Regions from separate parts of the Mus musculus genome. Here regions 1, 2, 3, 4, 5 and 6 are each reported to be linked to region 7. Evidence: microRNA targets listed by miRTarBase, many of them from high-throughput screens and not tested one by one. Region 7 holds a microRNA gene; each other region holds the end of a gene's coding sequence.

The links. The annotated mature microRNA mmu-miR-17-5p reads CAAAGUGCUUACAGUGCAGGUAG and lies in region 7 at 1,386-1,408, opposite strand. An mRNA with a match to its seed (bases 2 to 7 or 8) in the 3' UTR can be bound and repressed. Matches are read on the target gene's strand: a 7mer-m8 pairs with bases 2 to 8, a 7mer-A1 pairs with bases 2 to 7 and ends in A, and an 8mer does both.
Region 1: miRTarBase lists Extl2 as a target of mmu-miR-17-5p. The part of its 3' UTR that is shown has no 7-base or 8-base seed match.
Region 2: the mRNA of Dgkd is a reported target of mmu-miR-17-5p. The part of its 3' UTR that is shown has no 7-base or 8-base seed match.
Region 3: miRTarBase lists Adam10 as a target of mmu-miR-17-5p. The part of its 3' UTR that is shown has no 7-base or 8-base seed match.
Region 4: the mRNA of Shtn1 is a reported target of mmu-miR-17-5p. Seed matches in the 3' UTR shown: 7mer-m8 at 1,598-1,604.
Region 5: the mRNA of Mcl1 is a reported target of mmu-miR-17-5p. Seed matches in the 3' UTR shown: 8mer at 2,387-2,394 and 7mer-A1 at 2,809-2,815.
Region 6: miRTarBase lists Sall3 as a target of mmu-miR-17-5p. Seed matches in the 3' UTR shown: 7mer-m8 at 1,637-1,643.

What each region holds. Positions count from the first base shown.
Region 1 is chr3:116,026,967-116,030,309 of GRCm38, forward strand. Extl2 (exostosin-like glycosyltransferase 2) reads left to right here. Exons shown (of 5, transcript NM_001163514.1): 5 at 47-2,050. The coding sequence ends at 532. Among named protein-coding and RNA genes, the nearest start is that of Extl2, 20 kb to the left of the region's middle.
Region 2 is chr1:87,942,091-87,945,471 of GRCm38, reverse strand. It overlaps Dgkd (diacylglycerol kinase, delta), which reads right to left. Exons shown (of 30, transcript NM_177646.3): 30 at 983-3,089. The coding sequence ends at 3,000. Usp40 (ubiquitin specific peptidase 40) reads left to right here. Exons shown (of 32, transcript NM_001198573.1): 32 at 1-351. Among named protein-coding and RNA genes, the nearest start is that of Usp40, 65 kb to the left of the region's middle.
Region 3 is chr9:70,777,326-70,780,706 of GRCm38, reverse strand. It overlaps Adam10 (a disintegrin and metallopeptidase domain 10), which reads right to left. Exons shown (of 16, transcript NM_007399.4): 16 at 478-2,707. The coding sequence ends at 2,613. Among named protein-coding and RNA genes, the nearest start is that of Adam10, 100 kb to the right of the region's middle.
Region 4 is chr19:58,972,057-58,975,437 of GRCm38, reverse strand. It overlaps Shtn1 (shootin 1), which reads left to right. Exons shown (of 17, transcript NM_001114312.1): 17 at 230-2,080. The coding sequence ends at 452. Among named protein-coding and RNA genes, the nearest start is that of Eno4, 30 kb to the right of the region's middle.
Region 5 is chr3:95,660,257-95,663,568 of GRCm38, forward strand. Mcl1 (myeloid cell leukemia sequence 1) reads left to right here. Exons shown (of 3, transcript NM_008562.3): 3 at 451-2,923. The coding sequence ends at 567. Among named protein-coding and RNA genes, the nearest start is that of Mcl1, 3.2 kb to the left of the region's middle.
Region 6 is chr18:80,966,765-80,970,145 of GRCm38, reverse strand. It overlaps Sall3 (spalt like transcription factor 3), which reads left to right. Exons shown (of 3, transcript NM_001369133.1): 3 at 242-3,149. The coding sequence ends at 673. Among named protein-coding and RNA genes, the nearest start is that of Sall3, 19 kb to the left of the region's middle.
Region 7 is chr14:115,041,711-115,045,091 of GRCm38, reverse strand. It overlaps Mir17 (microRNA 17), which reads right to left and starts at 1,421; the gene lies at 1,338-1,421. Mir18 (microRNA 18) reads right to left here and starts at 1,241; the gene lies at 1,146-1,241. Mir19a (microRNA 19a) reads right to left here and starts at 1,092; the gene lies at 1,011-1,092. It overlaps Mir20a (microRNA 20a), which reads right to left and starts at 935; the gene lies at 829-935. It also overlaps Mir19b-1, Mir17hg and Mir92-1.

The DNA of each region.
Region 1 (3,343 bases), not on the chromosome of region 7:
CCAAAGAAACACCACACTTAACTGTTCCTTTTCCTCCTCTTTTCAGCAATTTCCTGATCAGATCATAGGATTTGTACCTAGAAAGCACGTCTCTACTTCCTCCGGGATCTACAGTTACGGAGGCTTTGAGCTGCAGACACCGGGGCCCGGGAATGGCGACCAGTACTCCATGGTGCTCATCGGAGCCTCCTTCTTCAACAGCAAATACCTGGAACTCTTCCAGAAGCAGCCTGCAGCCGTCCACGCGCTGATCGATGAGACGCAGAACTGTGACGACATCGCTATGAATTTCCTCGTCACCAGGCACACTGGCAAGCCTTCAGGGATATTCGTGAAACCCATAAACATGGTCAACTTGGAAAAAGAAACCAACGGGTATTCCGGAATGTGGCACCGGGCGGAGCACTTTCTGCAGAGATCCTACTGTATAAATAAGCTCGTTAACATCTACGACGGCATGCCCTTAAAGTACTCCAACATTATGATTTCCCAGTTTGGTTTTCCGTATGCCAACCATAAAAGTAAAATGTGAACCGGAAACAAAGACAAGCCCAAAACACCGCGCTGGGTTTTCAGTGGCTTCTCCATGCTGTGTGTTTTTGGTTTTATTTTTGGTTTTTTTTTTCAAGCAACACTATGAACTTTTATCTAGTCCATAAGTCTCTATAATAGAAACAAAAAAACCATATGCGGTACTTCTAGAATATAAAACACATGGACCTTCAAAAGCCAAGAAGTTGGCCTTACCGGGATAGGATTTCCTGTGAAGAGCTTTTGTCCAAGATGGTGACATTATTGTTTACATCTCGAGACTGCTCCTCAGTTTGTTTGAGCCCTGGCATTTGCCTCAAGGCCCTACAGCAAGCTGCTTCCAGAGACTCACAAGAGACAATTTTCAGCTTTTCGGTGAAGGTCGATTGTTTTTATTTGAAGCCTGAAATGCCTGCGGTATAGGGAAAAGCCATGTGAGGAGAGTTTAGTCTGAACTCAGTGTTGAGAGCCAGGAAAATTCCTGGTTGCCGGTGTCTTTCTGGTCCATCTCACAGAACTGACTGAGCCCAGCACGGTTCTAACGAAGCTGTCAGTGCTGGTGTCTCTGCTGTTACGCCTGTTGGTGACTGGGAGTGTAAGTTTTCATGGCTGACTGTTGTTTAATTGGTTTTTATTGGTTTGGTTTGGTTTGGTTTTTGTGTGAGCCTACTCTGCATGGATCACTGAAATGTGCCAGCCATGTTTCTTATATGTAACTTGTATGCAACAAGGAATCAGTGTGTCCCTGTAATCTGTCACCGCATATGACCTTGAGAATCTACATTAGTTCTTATATTTTACAGAATGTGTTGAATAATGAATAAATATGTATAAAAATAACTTCTGGAAGAATGGTTAAGTAGAAGCTAGCAGAAATAAAAAACTTTAGTATCAAAGATCTTTATTATTAAAGCATAGGCTACCTTGTGAGTATTTAATAACTGTATTGCACAAAAATGTTTCCATACAGAACCCAGGATTTTGTTAGGATTTTTTTTAAGTCCCAATTCATGACGAAATTTCAATTACATGGTTGTTGAAAATAAAAAGGACTGAGCCATCATGTGAGAAGGCAGTGGGATGCTCTCAGGAGTTCACTGTTCCTACCACACACCTCTCGCTGTGGGAGCCAGTGTCTGTGTCTTGCCTGCTGTCCTTTGGTTTGACCTTGTTCACCACTACTGAAAAGAAATAATCTATCAGGCCTCTGTGTATCACTTTTCTTCTTCTCTTCATATAAGGCGTGAAAATAGGAGAATACTGACCACCCAAGTTCCACTGCAAGACCTTCCCGCCGTCAGTTCAGCGTCTGTTTGTCTAACAATGTATGTGTGTGTCTTAATGCAATCAGAAATATATTTCATTTGATCCCATTAAAACTTATGTCAGTTACATGCTTTGTCCACATTTGGTAATACACTTTTGCTTCTTGGTTGTCCACATTTGGTAATACATTTTTGCTTCTTGGTCATCCACTGTCAAATAAATAAACGTCAGCTGGCCACTGTGTTAATAACTGAGCGGGTGCTCTGGTGACGTGTTCCGTGTTTCTCTGTACTTGGCAGTACCACTCACTGTGAAGCTGAAAACTTGATGTGTTCACCAGGAATAAGTTTCCTATTGGGAAGATAGCCCTGTGTTTGATTGAAAATTTTAAATAACCATGTGAATTGTACTATTTTCTCTCATATTATGAATCATCAACAAAAATACTTTTAGGTCTATATAAGAAAGATTTCTACACTGTGGCTAGACCTCCTAAGACCATCTTTCCATGAAAACCTTTTACTCGTACTCCACATGATCCAAAATCACTTGTGCGGGCTCAAAACTACACCTGTGTAGCAGTGTAGCTCAGGAGTGAAGCCTACAGGCTCTGCTATTAGACTCCGGGACGAAATCCTTGCCAGACATCACATTTGAAGAGCCCCTGTTTGTCAAAATGTGATTGTTTTATATATATCCTAAACGTTGGAAAACTAAGGACAGGTTAATATTCATAGGTTTTATTAAGAATTGGTTTTAAATAATAAGAGAGGTGGTATGTCTGACTAGAGTCATACGTCATAGTCATAGCGGCTTCCCCATTTCAGATGTTCAAAGCGTTAAAGCTGTTAGGTTGCTCTAATGCTAGAAAACCCAACATCCACAAAGGGAGATACGGAGAGCACTGTCTGTGCACAGTACCCAGGAACCAAAGGCTTGTTCCTTGTTTTCATTCTTTATATACTTTCCCCCCTGTGTTTTGTTTTGGAGACAGTTTTATCCTTTAATGTAGGCTGGCCTCAAACTCAAGGCCCCTCCTGCCCGAGTCTCCCAAAATGCTGAGATTAGAGACATGAGACATCATCACACCTGGCTCTTCACATTAAAGCCACAGTACGTATGTATTCTATCAGTTTGGACACATTTACAGCAGTGTAAAGAAATCAAAGATCACCCCTGTAATCCCAGCACTCAGATGGCTGAGGGAGGAGAATTCCTGTGAAGATCAGCCCTGCTACAGAGTAAGACCCTCTCTCTCTCTCTCTCTCTCTCTCTCTCTCTCTCTCTCTGTGTGTGTGTGTGTGTGTGTGTGTGTGTGTGTGTGTGTGTGTGTGTGTGTGTGTGTTGGTTAGAGGACAACGTTTCAGAGTCAATTAGATCCTCCCACAATGTGGGTTAGAAGTATCAAGCTCAGATGCTTAGGCTTCGTAGCAAGTGCCTTTCCCACTAAGGCTTCTCCCCAGCCCTGAACAGATGCTTCCGTAGCACCAGGACTCCCCAGCCTGCTCCCTTGTCATCCCACTGTGAGGAGACCAGGACTCTGTAC
Region 2 (3,381 bases), not on the chromosome of region 7:
AGTAAACATTACTTGACCACAACTGAGCCCTCTGGATACTGGATACTGTTTCTTGTACTGTAACTGACATGGTTCCTTAGTTTGTCCCCAGGCAATACAGTCCTGATGTACTAGCTCAGACACTTTGCTTTCAGGAAGCCAGAGGCTCCCTGACCCTCTTAGTACCTGGAGGAGCCAGAAGACATGCCTCAAGTGCTAGCTGCAGCCTAAGTCTGTTGACAGGCCTATCTGGTTGGTTTCTTTTGTGTGTGTGTGTGTGTGTGTGTTTGGAGAACAGAATAGACAAAACAGGGAAAAACACTAAGACTTTATTAAAGAAAAAAATAAAACATTCTTAAAGTTGCAGTCCTCAACTCTGTCATATACTGCCTGCCGTCTGTGTCCTGCTGCTTGAGGGACTTGCGTGACTTTTTCTTCAAGCAGCACAACTTTCTTTTTTCTCTAGACATTCAACAAACATGAGTTATATTAGAAACACTGATTTTGGAAATAAGTCTATTTTGGCTTAAAATAAATATAGACTCTTGGGGAAGTGTACTGGAAGAACTGGCTGTTGAGTAGCTCTGTTTACTATTCTGGGGACAGGATCTGGCCAGGGCCATTGCAGTAGGTGTTATGAATGCCCTGGCAATCCAAAGTGGTTTCATAGCTGCTAGCTTCCCCCTAGGTCAGATATAATTACGAGAGACTCAACAATACCAGAACCGCCACACTACCTGCAGGAGCACAGCAGTTCAGCAAGCTAACCATCCATGTGTGAAGGTGAATGACGGCACCCTGACAAGAAGCATTAATGGCGATTGCTGTCCAGAAGTTTTTGTTGTTGCTAGTGACTAACCCAGAGCTACACTGGCTGAACTGCCTATCAGCAGACCCTTGGAATATAACAGCTCTGTTCTGCTTTATAGCCACCAAGTCAGCAACCGAGTCTTCAGAACCGCTAGCAACTGTCAGCACAGAAATGAGGACAGGAATGCTCACTGGAAGATCAAAAACAGGCCTGTTTTATTATACACAGAAGAACTTATTTACAACTCTCTGATGCAGACTATGTACATAACAATACAAGAGGAATCTGCTCCAGATGGTCACTATAAATTAAGATTATAAATATGAGGGGTTAAGGTAGCCCCACCTGCAGGCACAAAACCTTTACTCCAATTCCTTGGGATCCTTCATTCTATCCCTCTCCAGAACTCTAGAGAACTGCTATGGGTTTGGGGCAGGGTGGTGATGGCCAGAACACATCTGCGGAGAGCATGGCCACCTGGCAGGTCCCTCCAGCACTCAGACTGGACCTTTCACTTTTTGTTGACAATAATGATTTCTAACACCCTCACCCAAACATGAAGCTTTCTCAAGAAGGCCACTGCCCTCAGTTGTTTCTCAGGACCCTAGTCACCTAAGTTTCAGCTGGTCTGGCTGGCAAAAGCTCTGTGAATTATCTGAGGTTATCCCTGCTTCCACATTCTGGTCTACATTGACTGCTCAGTGGAAAATAGAATCCCAGGTGGAAAGTGAAAATTATTTCCATTCAGGGAGGCAGCAACAACCACACACAGGGCAAAGATTCTCCCAGCCCACAGCTGATAGACAATGGGTGGAACTCTAGGCCTGGGGCAGAACACAGCAGGAACAACACTGTAGGCCCTTTCCATACTCCACTCTGCTCACCAGGGCTCTCAGATCTGTCACCAGGAAAGGGAAGATGAACAAGGAGTCTAGTCTTCAGAACAAACAGCAGGTCAACCTTGCCTCCCAGCTGGAATTGCTGCAGACTCTACCTAGAGCCCAAATTCAGTACTTCCTTCCCATGTCAGATGGGGAAGCACCGGCAGAGCCCACAGACCTGTCATCTCTGGTGAGGACCACAGACCAGCAGCCCTCCCTTTCCAGCTGTTCTATCAGTCCCTGTGGAGGACTATCTCAAAAGTAGAGAAGGGTAAGTAGGTGGCAGTGAAGACTCAGGACATCCTCACCTGGGAACTGCCCACAGGATGTAGTCTGGGCCTTGGAGAGCTTTCTGCCCAGCAGATAGTAGCAAGGCAGCAACAGTCAAGAGGCCTAACAGGCATCTCCTGGGACAACAAACCTCAGCGCAGATGAGAAGCCACCCAAGATGGCTCCAGATGACTGCCCCTATTCATTCTCTCATGGCATATGTCACTTCCAGCATCCAAGAAGCCTGGTCTCCACAGGAATGCTGAGTTAGTGGCAATCCTTATCTGCCCCAGACTGGACTGCAGACACCTGTAGCATCCTGAGGAGATACATGGGCTGTCCACATGCTCACAGCCCACAGGACAAGAGTGGGGAGAACCAAGTGTCCTGAGACCTGGCCTAAGCAGGAGGACTTTCCTCCTTCCTCACAGACTATAACAAGCCTGGAAACACATCCATGCCATTTTCAAACCAGGAAAGTAAATAGCTTGTTTTTTAAAACAATGAAACCTTGTGAACAAAGGGGGCAACAGCAGTGGGCTGCCTTTGTGGGGCTGCTGTGAAGAACTACAGAGTGGGTAGCAGGCACAGAGAACATTCTGGTGAGGGCCACTGAGGCCTGACCCAACTCTGTTTCTGAGAGCCAATAGAGACAGAAGATGGTACTACCCAGTGTGACCAATAAAGGACACAGAAAAGGAGTGCACAGCACAATCCAAGCATGTGCCCCAGGTAAGAAGGTTCTGCAGGGATGCCAGGTGCTGGGTGGTCAGGCTTCATTCACCACATTCCCTGTGGCCCACAAGGCAGGTTAGCAAGAGCCACAAGTGGATGTGACACAGTCTGCCCCAAATGACTGCAGCTAGGAAAAGTATTCTCTCAAAGGTAGCTGTGTTGGTATGTTCAAGACTCCAAAGCTGTTACCAACGGGCATTGGGCTTCCTGTCTCTAACAAAAGGAATAGCACCATGAGAAAGGCCAGGGGCTGAGTGCTGGCAGTGTCCTCCCTAGGCCTCAGTCTCGGGAGGAGCGGAGAATGCAGGCAGAGAACGCAGAGGCTAGGCCTCGGCGGCAGGGGAGCTCCGGCTCAGCTCCTTGATCCCACAAAGGATCCTCTTCATATGGCCCACTTTGGTCACACCAAGGTCCTGCAACAGAGAAGGAAGACAGGCAACATGGATATTTGGAAGAGGGCTCAGACCAGAGGGCTGACAAATGGGCTGCCACCAAAAAGCTTTCTCAGTCTCCTTTTCAAGTACAAATTAGGAAAATGATCAATGGATGAAATAGGAAGGAAATCAGCACAAATGTCAGTCATGCAGACACCCAATGCATGGTTCCTGTGTCCTACAAAGACTACTGTTGTGAAGGACAGCCAGCAGACAAAGAACAGAGGCCTGACAGCAAGTGGGTGGCATTGGGAGAGCTACCAGTTAAGGA
Region 3 (3,381 bases), not on the chromosome of region 7:
TTGAAGACAAGGTCCACGTGCATGCTAGGTAATTTCTTTACCAGGATTGTTTAGGGAAGGAATCTTGCATATAGCCTAGGTTTACCTTTTCTCTCCAGATCCTCCTACGTTAGCCTCTACAGTACTGAAATTATGGATAGGCACTACCACATCCAGATAAATCAGACATTAATAAAAGCACTTAGCACCCAGACAGAACTTTGAGAACACAGAAAGAAGACTACAAGTTTCCAGTTAGCTTCAGCTCTTCACTAGGACAAGTCCTGGACACTGCTTAGAAACAGTGAGAAGCCGTTGTGTTGAGTAACTTTCAACATACAGTGTACATGTGATAATGGCAATCAACTGTGCACCATGGCTCTGGACTGTAGCAGTGATGCCCTCACTTGCATGGAGAGACCTTTCTGCTGAATAGTCCTTCATTCAGCATGGTGGCTACTTCTGATGTTTCTGAGTCCAAAGAGCATAGACCTCAAGTTGATTTCATCAAGTCTATTTATTAATGCATTTCAAGTTTCAAAAAACCTTACATCTTTGCACAATACTTTATTTTTTGCAGGTTTTAGTAAAAATTTCCAAAGTGAACAACAAAAAAAAGATACTGTATAAAACACAGTGGACATTAAACTGACAGTAGTATTAGATCTCACTGGTCCTGGTCCTTTCATTTTTTAACCACATCTTGATTTGTAGTGGAAACAGTTCAGTGCATGTATCTCTTCAGAAAACATTTAACTTAGACTCAAAATAAAATAGGGCAAAACCCTACCACAGGATAACATTACAAGCAAAAAATGTACATGTTCCAAAGTCTACCACACTCAAGAAGTTACTAAGAACTCTTGCAGAATAAAAGTCACCATTTTAGAAATGCAAATCCACTTCCAACCTTTGCACAGTCCAAAAACAAAGGCATTTGAATGATTTAAAGCAGTGTCATACACAGCTACCTACTTGTTGGGTTAGAATTATTTATAGTCTATCTGGGGTTTCATGTACAAAATTTGTCTCTAAATCATGTACAAAAAGCTGTTTTGAAAAAAGTCCCGCGTACTGTACAAGTTTACAAGGAGAGATCCCATTGTTTCTCTAGCGGTTTTGGCCTTGCTGGCTCGCGTCACATTGTGAGTGATTGTGTAAACCTTAGACTCTTAAGAAAAAAGGAAAAAAAAAAAAAAGCCAAACACAGTAATCTTGTCAACCTTCTCTAGATTGCCTCCTATGTAAAGCCAGGAAGATCACTGCTGCTGACTTCTAATTTAAGTGATGTAGCTGGAAAACAGAAGCAATGAATATGTCACAAGCTTACATTTTTTAATGCCCCCTCCATTTTCTGCATAGCGATAAGCCTGTTAATACATTAAATGCTTTTGCTTTCTCTTTCTTTAAAAAAGCCAATATTTTATCTGCTTAAAAAAGAAGTTTGTAATGGGACACTGTGCTGTCTACCTTCATTGTTGCTAAAATGTTGGGGGGAAAACAACGTCGAAAAACCTATCTACAATTTCAACTACCTGCTGAGCAAATCACCCATCTCTAGTGGTTACCAGTGATCAGTGACAGTGCTGAAGAACTAACTGTCCAAGTATTTCAATGAAGACACTGATTTTCTTTTTCATATTGGATAAAAACAGAATTAGCAGGCTTGAAGTATATGGAATACACAAAGTAATAAGCAGGCTACAGATGAAAATTAATCATTTCCAACATAATTCCAAGGCATGAAAAAATTCACCTAGCAATTTAAAAATGGAATTGATTTAGAAAGTATAAAATACTAAGCAGAAATCAGACATCTACAAAAAGAGCTGACTCTGAAGCCAAATGCTGTTGCTGTCCAGTTTGCAAGCCATCAGCTGCGTTCTTCAGCACAGCCTCTCCTGCTCACAGCAGCCATGTAACAAGGAAAAAAATGTATGTAAGAACCAACTCCACCATAAGAAAAGGGAAAATGATTCTCATTTCAAAACTGCCTGCATAAAGCATTACAGAATCCTGGACCACTGCACACCACCATTCTCTGTTATCCTGAGTATGTCAATTAAACAGTAATTTTTCATTAAGAGCGGAAAAATTTATAATACAAAGAAACATCCATATTGCAATTTCTGTTTACAATTGCACAGAGAAGTACAGTGTACGTAAGAAATACATGTCTGCATATAACAAGGTATGTACATTGGCAAGTGATGTATCCAATGTTGAGGTGGTCGAGCCTCCCAGCCTTGATTGGCAGTTGAAAAAAATATATTTCAATTTGTGATAAAAGTTTATCGAGAGCCAAGTCTGTCTGCAAGTGAAGAAAATGCAGCAACGAAGAACAGGGAACATGGGGCACATAATAATATTCTAAGACTTTGTGCCATTAGGTTAAAAATATCTGTTCATAAGAAAATTGGGTTCCTTTTCCATCCCACCCCCACCCCCAAAATTGGAATTTTCAGGCTTTAAATTTTGAGTAATTCCACCTGATCTGAGGACATGATCTCTTGCCATTTTTCTTCAACTATTAACTGTAAGGGTATCATTTGCAGATGATGACTTAACAGGTTTCTCTTTGGAGTGAAGTTTTCCCACTGTAGGCACTAGGAAGAACCAAGGCAAAAGCTGCATTAGCGTCGCATGTGTCCCATTTGATAACTCTCTCGGGGCCTCTGACGCGGGGGCTGCTGAATGGGCTGTGGCGGTCTCCTCCTCTTTAAAGTGCCTGCAACGAAAGCAAAACAGCTCCCTGAGCACCACCTCCTAATCTTCAAAAGGGAAGCACTCTTTCACCAAGAAAAGCTATTTTTTGGCACTGACCAGCAGAAATAGGTACCCCGTAACACTTTTCAGTTTTCTGGTGGCCATAATAAAATAAAAATAAATTTTAATATTTATTTTATCTAGGCCAATTCAAGTTAAAAATACCAACTGTAGCATGTACTCAATATAAAAATTACTAAAATATTTTACTATTTTATGTTGTCTTTAAGTCTGATCCATATTTAATATTTAACAGCACATCTCAGTGGAGATGGGGCACATTTCAAGTACTTAAAGAATTAGACTGACCAGTCAGAATTATTTTAGCTTTGAGAGCAGAATCTCTGACTGGAGCCCTGACAGACTCTTGAGGCCTGTCTGCACAGCAGGATGGGAAGTCATTCACACAGTCTATCATGAAGACTTTAAAGCCGTCCTTAAGTCAGCACTTTTATGAAGATTTAACAAGTGACGATCATTTTCAGAGGTGTCAACACACAAGTGCATTATCTGCTCCAATGAAGAAGGACACCATGGCAACCATGCCTCAAAAGTGTCCTATAGCTCTTGGAAATGTGTTCAACTCACACAAGTGCCTGGGTTCTGACTTAGGAAACTTAAGAAAGCAAGTATATC
Region 4 (3,381 bases), not on the chromosome of region 7:
TTGACTCTGTCTGCCTTCTCTCTCCTGGCCTTCTGCTCCTATTACGTAATCGGATATCTGCTGCTGCTTTCTGTTTTTCAAATGGCTGGCATCCCAAAGACCACGCGTTGTGCATGTCGGTTAGACTTAGGACCGTTTCTGTTGTCATTTTTCTGAATCCAGGAACCTGAAATCCAAATGTTTTCTTTCTTCTGCTTAGTTGTTTTTCTATCTAACTCTCTTCTCACAGGCCTCCCAGTAAAGGTGGATACAGGAGAAAATGTGTGGGCAGTGAAAACCAAGCTGAGCCAGTTGTAGTATTAGATCCTGTTTCCACACACGAACCCCAAACCAAAGACCAGGCTGCTGAAAAAGACCCAACTCAATTCGAGGAGGAGGGAGGTGAAACCCAACCAGAATACAAAGAAGACAGCGGTGGGAAAACAGGAGAGACGGACAGTTCCAACTGCTGATCTGAAACCAGAGGCTGGCAGGTTGGTGGGGCCTTCTCAAGGAGCACGTGGCTCGTCTGCGTGTAACCGGCAGGAACTGTTGGACATTCCTTTGTTCTGGCCACACACTTCTTTGCTGGTATCACTTTGTAAGTAGCAATCATAAGTAAGCTGTTTAGCAAAATGCATCTTCTGGGTAGTTTTTAATCTTTACAGGAGTGAGGGTTCTTTCCGGTTTCTATATGAAGTATGACTTCCCTGAGGCGGTGGCGGAACTCAGAGGTTGGTGTCTTTACAGGGAACATATGTACCCCTCATCAAATTATTCACGGGAAAATTCAAGGTGGTTGCTGGTAACTGTATAAACAGAGACCACCAAACTTAACAATTATCTTAAAGGCACCCTTTAATCCAAGCCCTAGGGCATGGAGAGACCAAGGCAAGAGGATCACGTGAGCCTGAGTCTTAGTTTGGATCACACAGTACAACTCCATATAAAGAACATATAAAGAAAAGAAGGCCCGCAAGAGTCTCTGGGGTCTGGTCTTCTGATGGGAAACTGCAGCAGCCTCAACGTCAGTGGGTCCTATAGCGTCTCTGTTTTGAAGGGTGCGTGAGACCTTCCGTCTCTGAGCTCAGGAGGTGGCATCATGGACTCTTAGGTCTCAATTGAACACAGTTGACTATTGTGTGGAAATCATGACCCTGTGTCCAAGGCTTTACAGAGTCCTTCAGGGTGATGTCTTGGCAGCATCAACAGAGAATTGGCTTAGAGGGACGCTCAAACCTTGAATTTAACAGGGATTCCTCGGTAAGCTACTAGTTCTGTTCCATGAGTTAACTGTGTTTTCCCACACATTCACGTGCCACAAGTACCATATTTTACACCAGCTCTCACGCACAGTGAAGATAAGTGACAAGCACACATTGTTTTTCTCCCTTCACTGCGGATCTATACTACATGGGTCTTTTCTTGTTTTGTTTTGTTTTGTTTTGTTTTTTAGAGGAAATTAAGTGGTAGTTTCTAAGAATACAATGTTTCACACTACCACGGTGAATAAATAGAAATGTAATCAGGGATTTAAAAAAAAAAACTTATGCAGGTTTTCAAAGTTGATTGTTTCAAAATTGGTGTTTATTTAAAATAAGTGGTAATGTACTTGAGTGCACTTTTTATGATAATGATTCAGTAATGGTAATTTTACTATTAAGGAAATGGAAAGGCTTAGTTTTGTTAGCATGACTCGGCATGTAGCTGTCAGGTGCTCTGCACCTGAGGGCAAAAGAAAATGATAACAATTGCAGTAGTTGTATCCTATTGTATTTTTGCACGTGTGCTACTAGCGTGGGCCTGGGGAGGTGGGAAGGCAGGTGAGGACACTTCCTCGGCTTGGGGACAATTCTCTTTCTGTAGGGTCAATGGGCTTGACTGTTTTCCCTGTCTGTCAGTGCTGATTTTATATCCCTGTCAGTTTACTCATGGGGAATTAAAACGCGATTTTTTTTTTCAACCGTGTGTTTCTCTGACTGAATAAGACTGCTAAACAATATGCTAACTGCTGGCAGATTAATTCTTTTAGATGGGTTCTGTTATGCTGCAATTTGAATTCTCCTCAACACGACATTAAAAGAGACACTCGACGGTTTCTAATTAAGGGTCCGCTGTGGTTATTGGCATGTTGAAGTTCTCCAGCCTAGAGGGACACCTTGTTTCTTTGAGGGGCATGGGATTCTGTTAAGCCTTCTGGCCCTCAGCTACCTCCCCAGCCTTGCCACTTCCAATGGAAGAACAGTGTGTGCGATAGCACTGAACGGCTCTCGTCCATGCTTCTTGAGTCAGCCACCGAGTTGCTGCTGGGTTGCATACGCTTCCAGGACAATGAAGACAGGCATACCACCGTTCCATGTCACATCATCACACATAAGGATGTACTAACATGGTTGAAAAGCAGCCTTACTTCCAGCAGAAGTTAAGCACTGGGTAAGATGTGCTGGCTGGACTGGGTATCTATCTATCTATACCTGGCATTTTGAAGGCATCTTCTTTGCTTTTCATACAGTTGAAAATGTGCTTTCCTTCCCCATGACCACAAAGCTTTGCAAAGGACTGTGATATGTAAGTATTTGATGTAGGCTTTTGTTCACCTTTTTCCTAGTTTTTTCTATTTTTCATCTCAGCTTTAAGGTTCTGCCCTTCGCCAGGGTGGCTTGTTAACTCCGAGGTAAGCTCTTAACTGTGTGCACAGAAGGCTAGCCCCCTCCTGTGCACCTGACTCAAGTTTCCTTTTCTCTAGCAGGACATTCATTCTGTTTTGAAAGTATGGATTAGGTCTCTCTGTTCTAGCTCTCTTGACTAGTTCTGACACTGTCTCGCCACAGTGAGCAGAAAGCACACAGATCCTTTGTACCTTACTAAAGGAGGGTGTCTCTCCTCTCTTCATTAACACTCTCACAGCCTTTACGTCTGAGGAGTCCTATCTACACAAGCTCCCATCGTAGCTGTTAGCAGTTTTCCAACTCTGGGACTCAATTGCTCTGAGTTAAGTGAGGGTGTTACAGCTTGGCCAAGTAACTCCTTCCTTACCTCCAGTGAAAAGGGTGGTCGAATGTGGGAAGGTGATCGTGGTTTCCAGACCACTGTGGGTTGTATGTTGGGCAAGTGAGAGCCTGCACCACAGTCCTCAGCTCATCTGGGAGTGCTTCTGCCAAGGCCCGCTGTGCACGGGTCGCCTCCGCCAGCAAGCAACTCCAGTGGTTATAGATAATGTTATACATTTTATGAGGAAGGGGCGGTGGGGAGAGGGGGGAGGGGGAAGGGAGAGAGTGCACGAATATGAAAATGAATAAAAGGAAAGTCCTCTGAGAAAAGTCCCTACCCATTGGTGAGCACAGACCTCGGGTGAGCTACTGTGATCAGAGTGCATTCTGGGCTTGGGCTGGCATCAGGGTG
Region 5 (3,312 bases), not on the chromosome of region 7:
CTTCAGAGCAGTGGATTCAAACCGTGAAGAAGTAAGAGTCACCTGTGATGACTAAATTACATCCCCCTCATTTTAATCAAATGGATAAGGGGTAGAGCCTGCATTTTAGAAGTTAATACCCAAATACACCAGCTCTGGTGTAAGGTGCACTCATTCTCATTAGGAAATACCCATGGGAGAAATACTACATGGGGATGGATCCAAAGAGTGGTTGGTTATGGGCCCTGCTCAGTCTGTGCAAAAATAATTGAGGTGCAATACAACTGCTGTAAGGTAACTGTTGTGTGGTTACTCACTGGAAAGAACTCCAGAAGTGTCTCTTGCATCCCAGAAGTAGGTAATTGGTTCACCATTGTTTGGGGGATATTTTAATTCACCGTTTCTCTGTATGTAGTGTTACAACAGCAGAAACCCATACTTGAAAATGTGCTTTTCTTTTTTGTTTTCTAGGATGGGTTTGTGGAGTTCTTCCACGTACAGGACCTAGAAGGCGGCATCAGAAATGTGCTGCTGGCTTTTGCGGGTGTTGCTGGAGTAGGGGCTGGTCTGGCATATCTAATAAGATAGCCTTGTGAGTGCAATAGGGGACTCTTAAAGCTCCAGCCACCAAACTACATGCATCTGTGAAAACATGTGTATTTATGAAGGTGGACTTGAAGCTGCCCAGGATTTTAACAGTCCAGTTCTACTGTAGCAACATAGCAAAAAGAAAGTGGCTACAGGATTGTGGCTAACAAGAATAAATACATGGGAAAAGTGCTCCCCCTGGAAGAGTCACTGTCTGAATGAAGCAAAGTTCCCTCTCAGCAAACACTGAGAGGCCATGGAGAAGGACTTCTAGAATGAATGAAAGGGGTGGATGGAAAGGTTTGATTTCCTATCTAGAGATGGAAGAGGGGCCAGTCATCAGGCTAGTCACAAAGCTCAATAAATATCCATTACTCTGCTCAGAGTGTTGAGAGAGAAGCCCTAATTAACAACGTTGGTGACTTGTGTAAAATGGATTTGTAACCTACAAGTCACCAAACGATGACTAGAAGCTGCAGTGCTGTACAGGAATGTGAAGGGAGGCCTCTGAGCAGTCCAGGGTGTGCTTGACAAAGTCCCAAGTGCTCAGGACTTTTAGCCCTGTCTACTTTGGCTTGGTTTGGATGATTCTTAAGTTTATTAGCCTAGTGATGGCCAAAAAGTACTTGACTTAAGGTTCACTAATTAGTTACAAAACTGAACAGCCTCGATTTTTAAGAAAATTTATGAAATGTATTTGTCTGTAAAAATTGTATATATTTTTACAGAAAGTCTATTTCTTTGAACATAAGAGGGAAGTCTTGGATTTAGTTTTTTTCCATACCCTTTTGAAATTTGCAGCTTCTCTAGTTAGAAATGTATTTCTTACAGCTTTTTAAGACTTTGTCATCCGTTCTAGTGTATATGCAGAGCCTGTTGTGTGTGTGGACTGGTTATAGATTTATAACTATGCAGGGTTAATTATCCAATCTTTTTTTTTTGTATTTAAAGATCACAGGTAGATAGATGTAAGACATTTGATCCCCTGTTGACTTACAAAATTGTAAATGGTAAAGCAGGCTAGAGTCTTAACCATGGTGCTATTCACTGGGTTTACTTGTTTAACACAAGTTTATACCTGGTGTCAATAAAACAAATATGTATTTCTTGTCTACTAAGGATTGCCAAGCTTTGTTTTGAATTTCTGTATTGGTCTCTAGGTGTAGCCTTTACTTCCTTTACTGTTGGCGTGTTATGCTCCCAGTTCCCCTATAGAGTCGTCTACACTTCCTCCCTGTGCTCTTCACTGGCCATTTTAGTTATCTGCATTAGAACTCTCACCCCAACCCCCCCAAAACTTTGAACCTAAATAACCCCTCCCCCATCCTAATCAGAGTCAGCACAGCTTTCCTGTCAGAGGATAGGAACACTTGCTCTTTGAGCCCCGTGACCGACAGTGACCAGGGATTGGCATTCTTGGATTGGCATGCTTTCCATTGTTACTTTGTCTATTTTGGTAAGAAAAACATCAAAGGTCCCCTTGGGAATTTCAAAGGTTGGAAATTATACGTTTATACTTTTATTAGTTTGCTCCAAGTATGACTGTGTTCACTTAAGTTTAGAGAAACACTGGGTTTTGCTAAACTCGGTTAACAAAAGCCACTGGTAACTGAAGGTATTTAAGCTAGGGTCATTTGAAAGCTTCAGCCTCAGAATGTGACCTTTAGTCAGGGCTGCAGATAAAAATAGGCAGGAATCAAATGACTAAGAATGTAATAGGGAAGAAGTGCCCTGCCTGCCAGCTTGGGAGTGATTTGTACCTGTGTATTTATCCTTGATCATAGTTTGCTTATTTATGTTTAACTCTTCGGACTTCAGAGCACTTTATGTAGTTGAATAAACCCTAGAGGTTGAGGTGACTAAAAGGTTAGCCTCTCATAACCCAGCCATGGAAGTTTTGTTTACTAGGAGCCTGACTTCCCAGCTCACAAAGGGTGAAATGAAAGCTGAAGTACAGACAGGATCTTAGTAGGTATTTTAGGTCCAGGGCCATGAAGACTTGGAGAGCGCAGTGGCTGGGCAAGGGGCTGCTTTGGAGGGAAGAAGCATGTGGTCTGAGTGCTGACTAGATGAATAGTTGAGGCACATCCTTCAGAGAAGAGGGAGGGGCTGCTTGGAAAGATGGCTCTCAGCAAAATCTGTTTGTCTTACACGTCTCTCAGGGAAAAAACATGCAGTCTTCAAGCATCTTCCATGTACATTCTATCTGGGTGAACACCTTCATTCTGGTAGAGCACCTAACACTTTAACAGCTGTTCCCGAAAGGGTTAGGACCAACTGCAAGTTAATGTGGGTTGTAAATGTTCCCCTAACTTCTGTTTCTTCTGAAGAGAAAATAAACCTTTTTCCCCCCAAAGTAAGGTGTGGTATGGGTCTTTTCTTATCGCCTTCCTCTCTTGTGCAAGCCTTTTAGGGAAGTCAGTTGAACAAATAGAAGTGAAATAAAAGCAAAATTCAGTATTGATTTGCCTTATGGTAAAGAATATAGGACCTGTAATTTAAATTTGTGGTTAATGTATTCCTGTTTTAAACTAGTTCGGTACGTTTTTGGGTTGCGGGGGAGAATGCTTAGCACCACACCTGGCTTTCTCATTGACAAGTTCCTTGTATCTTAAATTTATTAGTCAAGGTTGACCTTGAACATCTATGGTGATCCTGCTGTGCTAAAGCTGGGATCTTGGGTGTGTTATCCTTGCCTCTGCAGGCAGTGTACTTGGAGAAATTAGCTTTGCTCCCCACCAGCCA
Region 6 (3,381 bases), not on the chromosome of region 7:
GGGGGGGGTGTTGATATCCAGCAAGTTTGTTCACTTAACTCGCCGGTTTCGCTTTTTATATTCACAGAATGGAATACTGTGTGTCTAATAGAAGGTGCTCGGGGAGTCTCCCCTAACTGCGTTCTGCTGACCCCAGACTAATACTTAGAATGTAGGCCCATGGGCCATTGGCGTCAAGCCACAGCCGCTCAGAGCTCTCCACCTGCTTTACTTGTGGCTTGTCTCTCTGTCTCCCCCACAGGTACACATGGGCACCCACATGTGGAACAATGCACCCGCGAGGCGTGGCCGCCGCCTGTCTGTGGAGAACCCCATGGCTCTGCTCGGTGGCGATGCTCTCAAGTTCTCTGAGATGTTCCAGAAGGACCTGGCAGCTCGAGCGATGAATGTGGACCCCAGCTTTTGGAACCAGTACGCCGCTGCCATCACCAACGGGCTGGCCATGAAGAACAATGAGATCTCTGTCATCCAGAACGGAGGCATCCCTCAGCTCCCAGTAAGTCTAGGCGGAGGTGCCATCCCGCCTTTGGGTGCCATGGCCAGTGGGGTGGACAAGGCACGCACTGGCAGTAGTCCGCCCATTGTCAGCTTGGACAAAGCGAGCTCAGAGACGGGAGCCAGCCGGCCATTCGCGAGGTTCATTGAGGATAACAAGGAGATTGGGATCAATTAGCAGGATACACTTAAGACTCCACCCTCCTCTTCTGTCCCAAGTCCACTGCAGAGTTGGAGCGTCAGGCTTTGGACCCCACATGCCTAGGCTCTCATTAATACTTAATACCCACGACAGAAAATATCTGCACCGTGTGGCTGCTGCAGGGAGCCCTGGGGAGCGAGGCGCAGTACTGCAGTGGGTTTGACTCTTCTGAAGGTAAGAACTCTGCAACCTTTAAAGGAAATCTCAGACAAAAGCTCATGTGCTTGGAAAAAAAAAAAAAGGAAAGAAAAGAAATGGCCTTAGGAACAGAAAGAGTCAGACCATATCTACTTCATTTCTCCTAAAACCTAGTGACCCCTTTGTGTAGGGGAACGGGGTCCCCTGTGGTAATCCCGTGAGCTGCATTCAATGGTTTTGTTCAAATTCTGTAGACACTTGAACTCTGTTTTAGGGACTCTCCGTCTTGAAGAAGCAGTTCAGTGCTCCAAACGCTGTGTATAATGACAGTCTTTTTGTCTATAGTATTTATGTTAAGATTATGCGGGTAACAAACAATAAAATAGCCCAACCTTAAATGAAGATTTTTGTATCACAGAATACATCTGGCTATGTGATCTTTTTTTTTTTTTTTTTAAAGCGAGATTTGCTTCATTATAAATAAGTGGATTAATTCAATGCAGGCAAAATCGTGACGTTCTATTGGGAAAGATAGCATGGTTTTTGTGTGCAAGTACCTGTCAGTAACAATCGCCCCCCCCCCACCTTTAATTTAAATGTTTGTAGCTGCTATGTGAACAATTGTTCTCTAGTGTGGTCTGTAGCCCCGCGGTCGACTGGGAACAAGTTACAGACAAGCATCAGCGTAAAATGATTTACAGCATTATAAACAGTTGTGAGTAAATATTTCACATTATCAAAGCTGTATAATAAAGAGGTAATGTTTGTATAATGTGGTTGCAAATCTTAATTTATACAATTGCACTTTTAGTATTTTGTATTAGGGAAGTTTGTCTATAATTTGAAAATTAAAAAAAAAGATGTAAAGTATTTTATAAATAGTACTTCAGTTTAAAGAAAATGGAGGGGGAAAAAAAACCCATGTCACAGTTTATTGTTTTGTCTTAAAGTCAAACATGAGAAGTCTAAGCCGTTTAAGCAGAAAAGAAGCCACCAGGACTTGTCAGCACCTCAATAAAATAAGACCTGCCATTTCTTAAATTAACATGATTTATTTAACTTTTCTACAAAAACCTCTTGAAAAAACTGTGAGCATCATAACAAAACCCTGACAAATGACTCTCAGTCCCTGACATAGAAAGGCAGGGGGACAACAGAGCACACGTTGCGCAAGTGTGACTTCACCATAGGCTCCCCTCTGTCTCTCTCACACACACGATACGGGACTGCCTCATAGCACTGGTCAGGGCACAAAGGAGACCGGGATACCGAGTGTCTGGCAGTATAATCAGTCATAACCATGACATTTCCTAAGTTCATGATTTATTGTCTTTCCAAGTGCAAACGCAGTGTGGTGTCCCGATTATTCCAACCCCGATCTTTTGCTGATGACCTACCTGTCTAAACTGTATCCACTGAGCACAGAAGCCAGAGGCTGGGAGGCAGGGTGGACTGGAAACTTGAACGTCAAGTGTTGTGTGTACTACCTCATTTTTGTGCATTTGCAAGCATGCTGGGATGTGACATGACGGACTTCCAACAAAAATTGCTCAAGACATACTGTAGGTAGCTGGGTACCTCGGCAGGGAGCTGTCTGCGCTTGAAGGCCAAACCAGACAGTGTGAGACAGAAGGATAGAGCAGTCACCTCATACAACTTGAACCAACAGGAAAAGGCGCTGCAGGGGAATGACTACCACAGGCCTGTGCCTGAGCAGAGAGCATCTGGGCTCATTAGCTGTTCCTGACTTTGGAAATGAACACAGGTCTCTCTGGCTCTGTTTTCCATGTAGTGAGGTAGAGCATCTACAGGCCATGCCATCTCTTGCTGGTGTGGGGATGGGAGCAGGTGCTTCAGCTTTGGGGAGATGAGACAGGGTGGCTTAATGTTGCCCTGCTTTAGCAGTTGAACGTCTTGTTATTTATCTGTGTCCTCTTGGTGTGTTTTCTCCCCCTGTCTCGGTTGGTACCATGTTAGTGTTCTTTCTTCTCTCAAAAGGATGTGTATATAACTTAAGAAAAGAGAAATGTAAAGTGTTATAAACGAGACGGCTGATGAAGGTGCAGAGACCACCCCCATTCTGTGTTCAGGGCTGGCTGTCCCTCTGCGTGGTGAAGAGAGACACTATTTTTATACCGCAAAAACCACGCGGGGGTGAGGGCCTCCCAGAACCAGCCAGGGTGTTCGGGAGACCCGATATATTTTATGATTTAAATCTTGTGGCTTGACACATCTACTGACTGAAATGGATGTTGTAGACTTAGGTTACTATTTTTGTCATACAGAACTGAATAAAATGCGGGGTGTCCTATTATTTCTGAATCGTGTTCCCTGATTCTTCCTGGTGGAGTCTGCAGTGCTGGTCGGTGGTGGTGGATGGCTGTCTGTGGCGTTTTCCAGAGGGGATGTCAAACAGGGGTTGGCAGGTTATAGTTAAGCAATATCTACAAGTTTTTTTATCTTGAATTAGTTTTTTCAGTGCTGGGCATAGAACCCAGGGCCCTGTAAGTGCATGCCGGACAAGCACCTTGCCTCTGGTCCAGATC
Region 7 (3,381 bases):
CTCCAGACCCAGCACTCGAGTGTCATGTGTACCTGTCACTCTACTGACCATCAGTTTGCCATCTTTCCCTTGAGGGGGTCACATGGTAAGAACAGTCCAAGGATAGTTCTTTCTTACAGGGTGTGCACATTAACAGAGTGGCCACCACCTGTTAACTGTTAAGAACTCACGGATTAGGAATAATCTTATCAGAAAACACTCCATCTGAATTGTCACACTTTAATAAACAGAGATCCAAAGAAAGTAACATTTTTCTTAACTCATGTTAATGGGTTTTAGAGTAAAATAAACCTGAAGTCATACCAGGTTCAAAAGGCAGTTTAACTTCACCTAAGCCCCCACACACAACTTCTTACTAAATCCAGCGAGCAAACACGAAAATGAAATGATTCAGTAAAAACAAACCACAATTTAAAAACACAAATTTCAATTAAAAAAATCCCGTTTTACACACCAACGAAAGCAATAGAAATCACAGTTTACAGAATGTGTTCATACACTCCATCAGCTCGTGAACATTTTTACAGTGGAAATCGGCATCTTCAGCAATATTGTCATTTTCACATCTTCTGGTCACAATCCCCACCAAACTCAACAGGCCGGGACAAGTGCAATACCATACAGAGAAACACAGCATTGCGACAAATCCCAACCTGTGTAGAAAGGGGTTTGATTTTCCCTTACTTCTCTACAGACTTTTCACCACCACAGTCAGTTTTGCATGGATTTGCACAGCAGAATATTATACAGCTGGATGCAAACCTGCAAAACTAACCATAGACCAGTGCTCAATAACAGGACAGTTGGCTGGGCGATGGCCAGGCGAGGCTGGAGTTCTACAGCTGGCAGTACTTTAAGTGCTCGTAATGCAGTAGATGGCTACACACTACCTGCACTATAAGCACTTTAGTGCTACAGAAGCTGTCACATCACACACACCACGCAGGCTCTACATCGACACAATAAAAATACAAAATTAGTTTAAAAAAAAACAACACTTGAAGTAAATAGCAGGCCACCATCAGTTTTGCATAGATTTGCACAACTACATTCTTCTTGTAGTGCAACTATGCAAAACTAACAGAGGGCTGCAAACACAACTATGGAGAGACCCCTACATGCTTGCTTGACTTGGATTGGATGAGGACATAACTTCTTATGCCAGAAGGAGCACTTAGGGCAGTAGATGCTAGTCTACTTCACTATCTGCACTAGATGCACCTTAGAACAAAAAGCACGCAGCACCAGCAGGCCCTCCCCGCGACCGACTGACCGACGACTGGACGCAGCCAGTGCCGCCCGAGGCAGCGCCCACTGTGGCTCCCACCGAGGCAGCTGTCAGCATAATGCTACAAGTGCCCTCACTGCAGTAGATGCACACATCACTACCTGCACTGTAAGCACTTTGACATTATTCTGACTGGTCACAGCTTCAGTCCCAAGGTGAGGTTCACTTTATTCCTGCTAAATTTGAAATAAATAATTAGACAAAAAGGAAAAAGCCAAAGCTCTAAATTCTGTCACAAACATCAATTACAGCTTATACCCAAGGGGGGGAGGGGAGGAGCCAATAGCCAGAAGTTCCAAATTGGACACATGTAAGCCTTAAAAAAAAAAAAAAAACTCCTTAAAGAAATATAAGATACAATCCCATTAAAATGTTGGCTTTTACAGTAGGCTTCCCCAAAAAACACACAATAAGGGTCCTACAAAATGAGACCTGTTATCAGGAAGGCAGTCTGACTTGGTACTACCTTTAGAGGAAAGCCTCACATTGACCAGGCAGCAATCCCTTTCTTCTGTCCTCCACATTGTCAGATACTCGACAAGATTAATGATTATTGTTTAGTCATTTTCAAGTTTATTAGTCATAAAACATAAAAAAGTCTTAGTATCACCCCAAATTAGAAATACTCTATGACTCCAACTTGAAGGGTCTACAACTATTTGGTTAGTGTCCAAAAGCCACTGTAGATTTACTACGTTAAAATGTGGCTCACTCATTTATGACAAGAGTTCAAACTGTATTTATTTCATACCTTAAAAGACCAAGAATGTTGTACAAGCTCAAAGACAAAAGTGAAAACCAAAGGTCTCAAAAGAAGTTTTAGCTACAAAACTAGAATATACTCACCCACTCAGGCAAACTTCCTTCTCAGCAAGTATCCTTGGGCAATGCTTCGGGTGCTGCTAGGTCCACGTGTATGACTAGGGTTGGGGGTGGGGTGAAGACAGAGAAAGGGTAAGCACATTTGCTCAAAATTACTACCACTTTCCGAGCCCCATTCCAAGTTGCTCTTCTCTTAATCTTCCTAAGGGGCAATTCTATCCATTTGCCAAAAAAAAAAAAAAAAAAAAAAAAAAAGAGAGAGCCAGGACCACAAGGTCCTGAGGGCAACAATGTATTGGGTGGAAAACGCTGTAACAAAATAAAGTTGAAAACCCACCAAGATTCACATCCGTGCACGAATTAATGTGCCCCTGAAATACTGCAAGATGAGTAGCAGCAAGCCTGAACTCTACTGTCCAGCTCAAGCTAGAGAAAAAGGGCAACCAGGACTAGTCTTCACCACCCCTCCCCCAATCAGGACCTCGTGGCTGCACGCCGGGATAAAGAGTTGTTTCCCCAACTGCTGTGATCCTCGTGGCACGTTGCTCATTTTCTTCCCTCTGGTCACCTAAGAACCACGAGCCCTGCTGCGCTCTCCAGTTTTCTCCCCTCCGCGCCAGCTTATCAAGAGAAAACCGGACGGGAACACGGGATCCTGCCAAGTACCCGCCACGCTCATGGAGCCCGGGCCGGCAGCACATGTCGCACAAGGGGGCAGGCGGCCCTTGTGGGTTCCCCGCGCGGCCGCCAGGGGGCGGCAGGTCAGAGCCGGGCCGCGCTGCGCCGGACGCGGAGACTCCCCCCCCCCCCCAACCCCCGCCCGTTTCTGGGCGGCTGCGCGGCGAGCGGCGGCGCGGAGGCCCGAGCGTGGCGAGGCTCCGGACACGCCGGCCGTCCTTTGTGTCCCGCGCGCCCCCCGGCCAGGCTCCGGGGGAGGGAGGGGGGCGGACAGGGCGCTCGCCGCACGCGGCCCGAGGCCTAAGCCGGGAACAATCGGCGGCGGCGCGCAGTCGCCGCCATGTCCCCCCCCCCCCCGCCCTCGGCGCGCGCAGCCCGCCCCGCAGGAACATGGCGGCGGGGCCGCCGCTCCTGCCGAACCCGCCCGGCCCTCCCGCGCCGCGCTCGCAGCCAGCGCCCGTCCGGGGCTCCGCGCCGCCCCGAGGGCGGGCCGGGGCGTCCCGGGCCGCCCGGGCGGACCGCAGGGGTCGCCTCGCCCGCGAGGGGAGCTGCCCACGCGGCCGCACACAAAGCCCACGCGGAGCGCGGGGTGG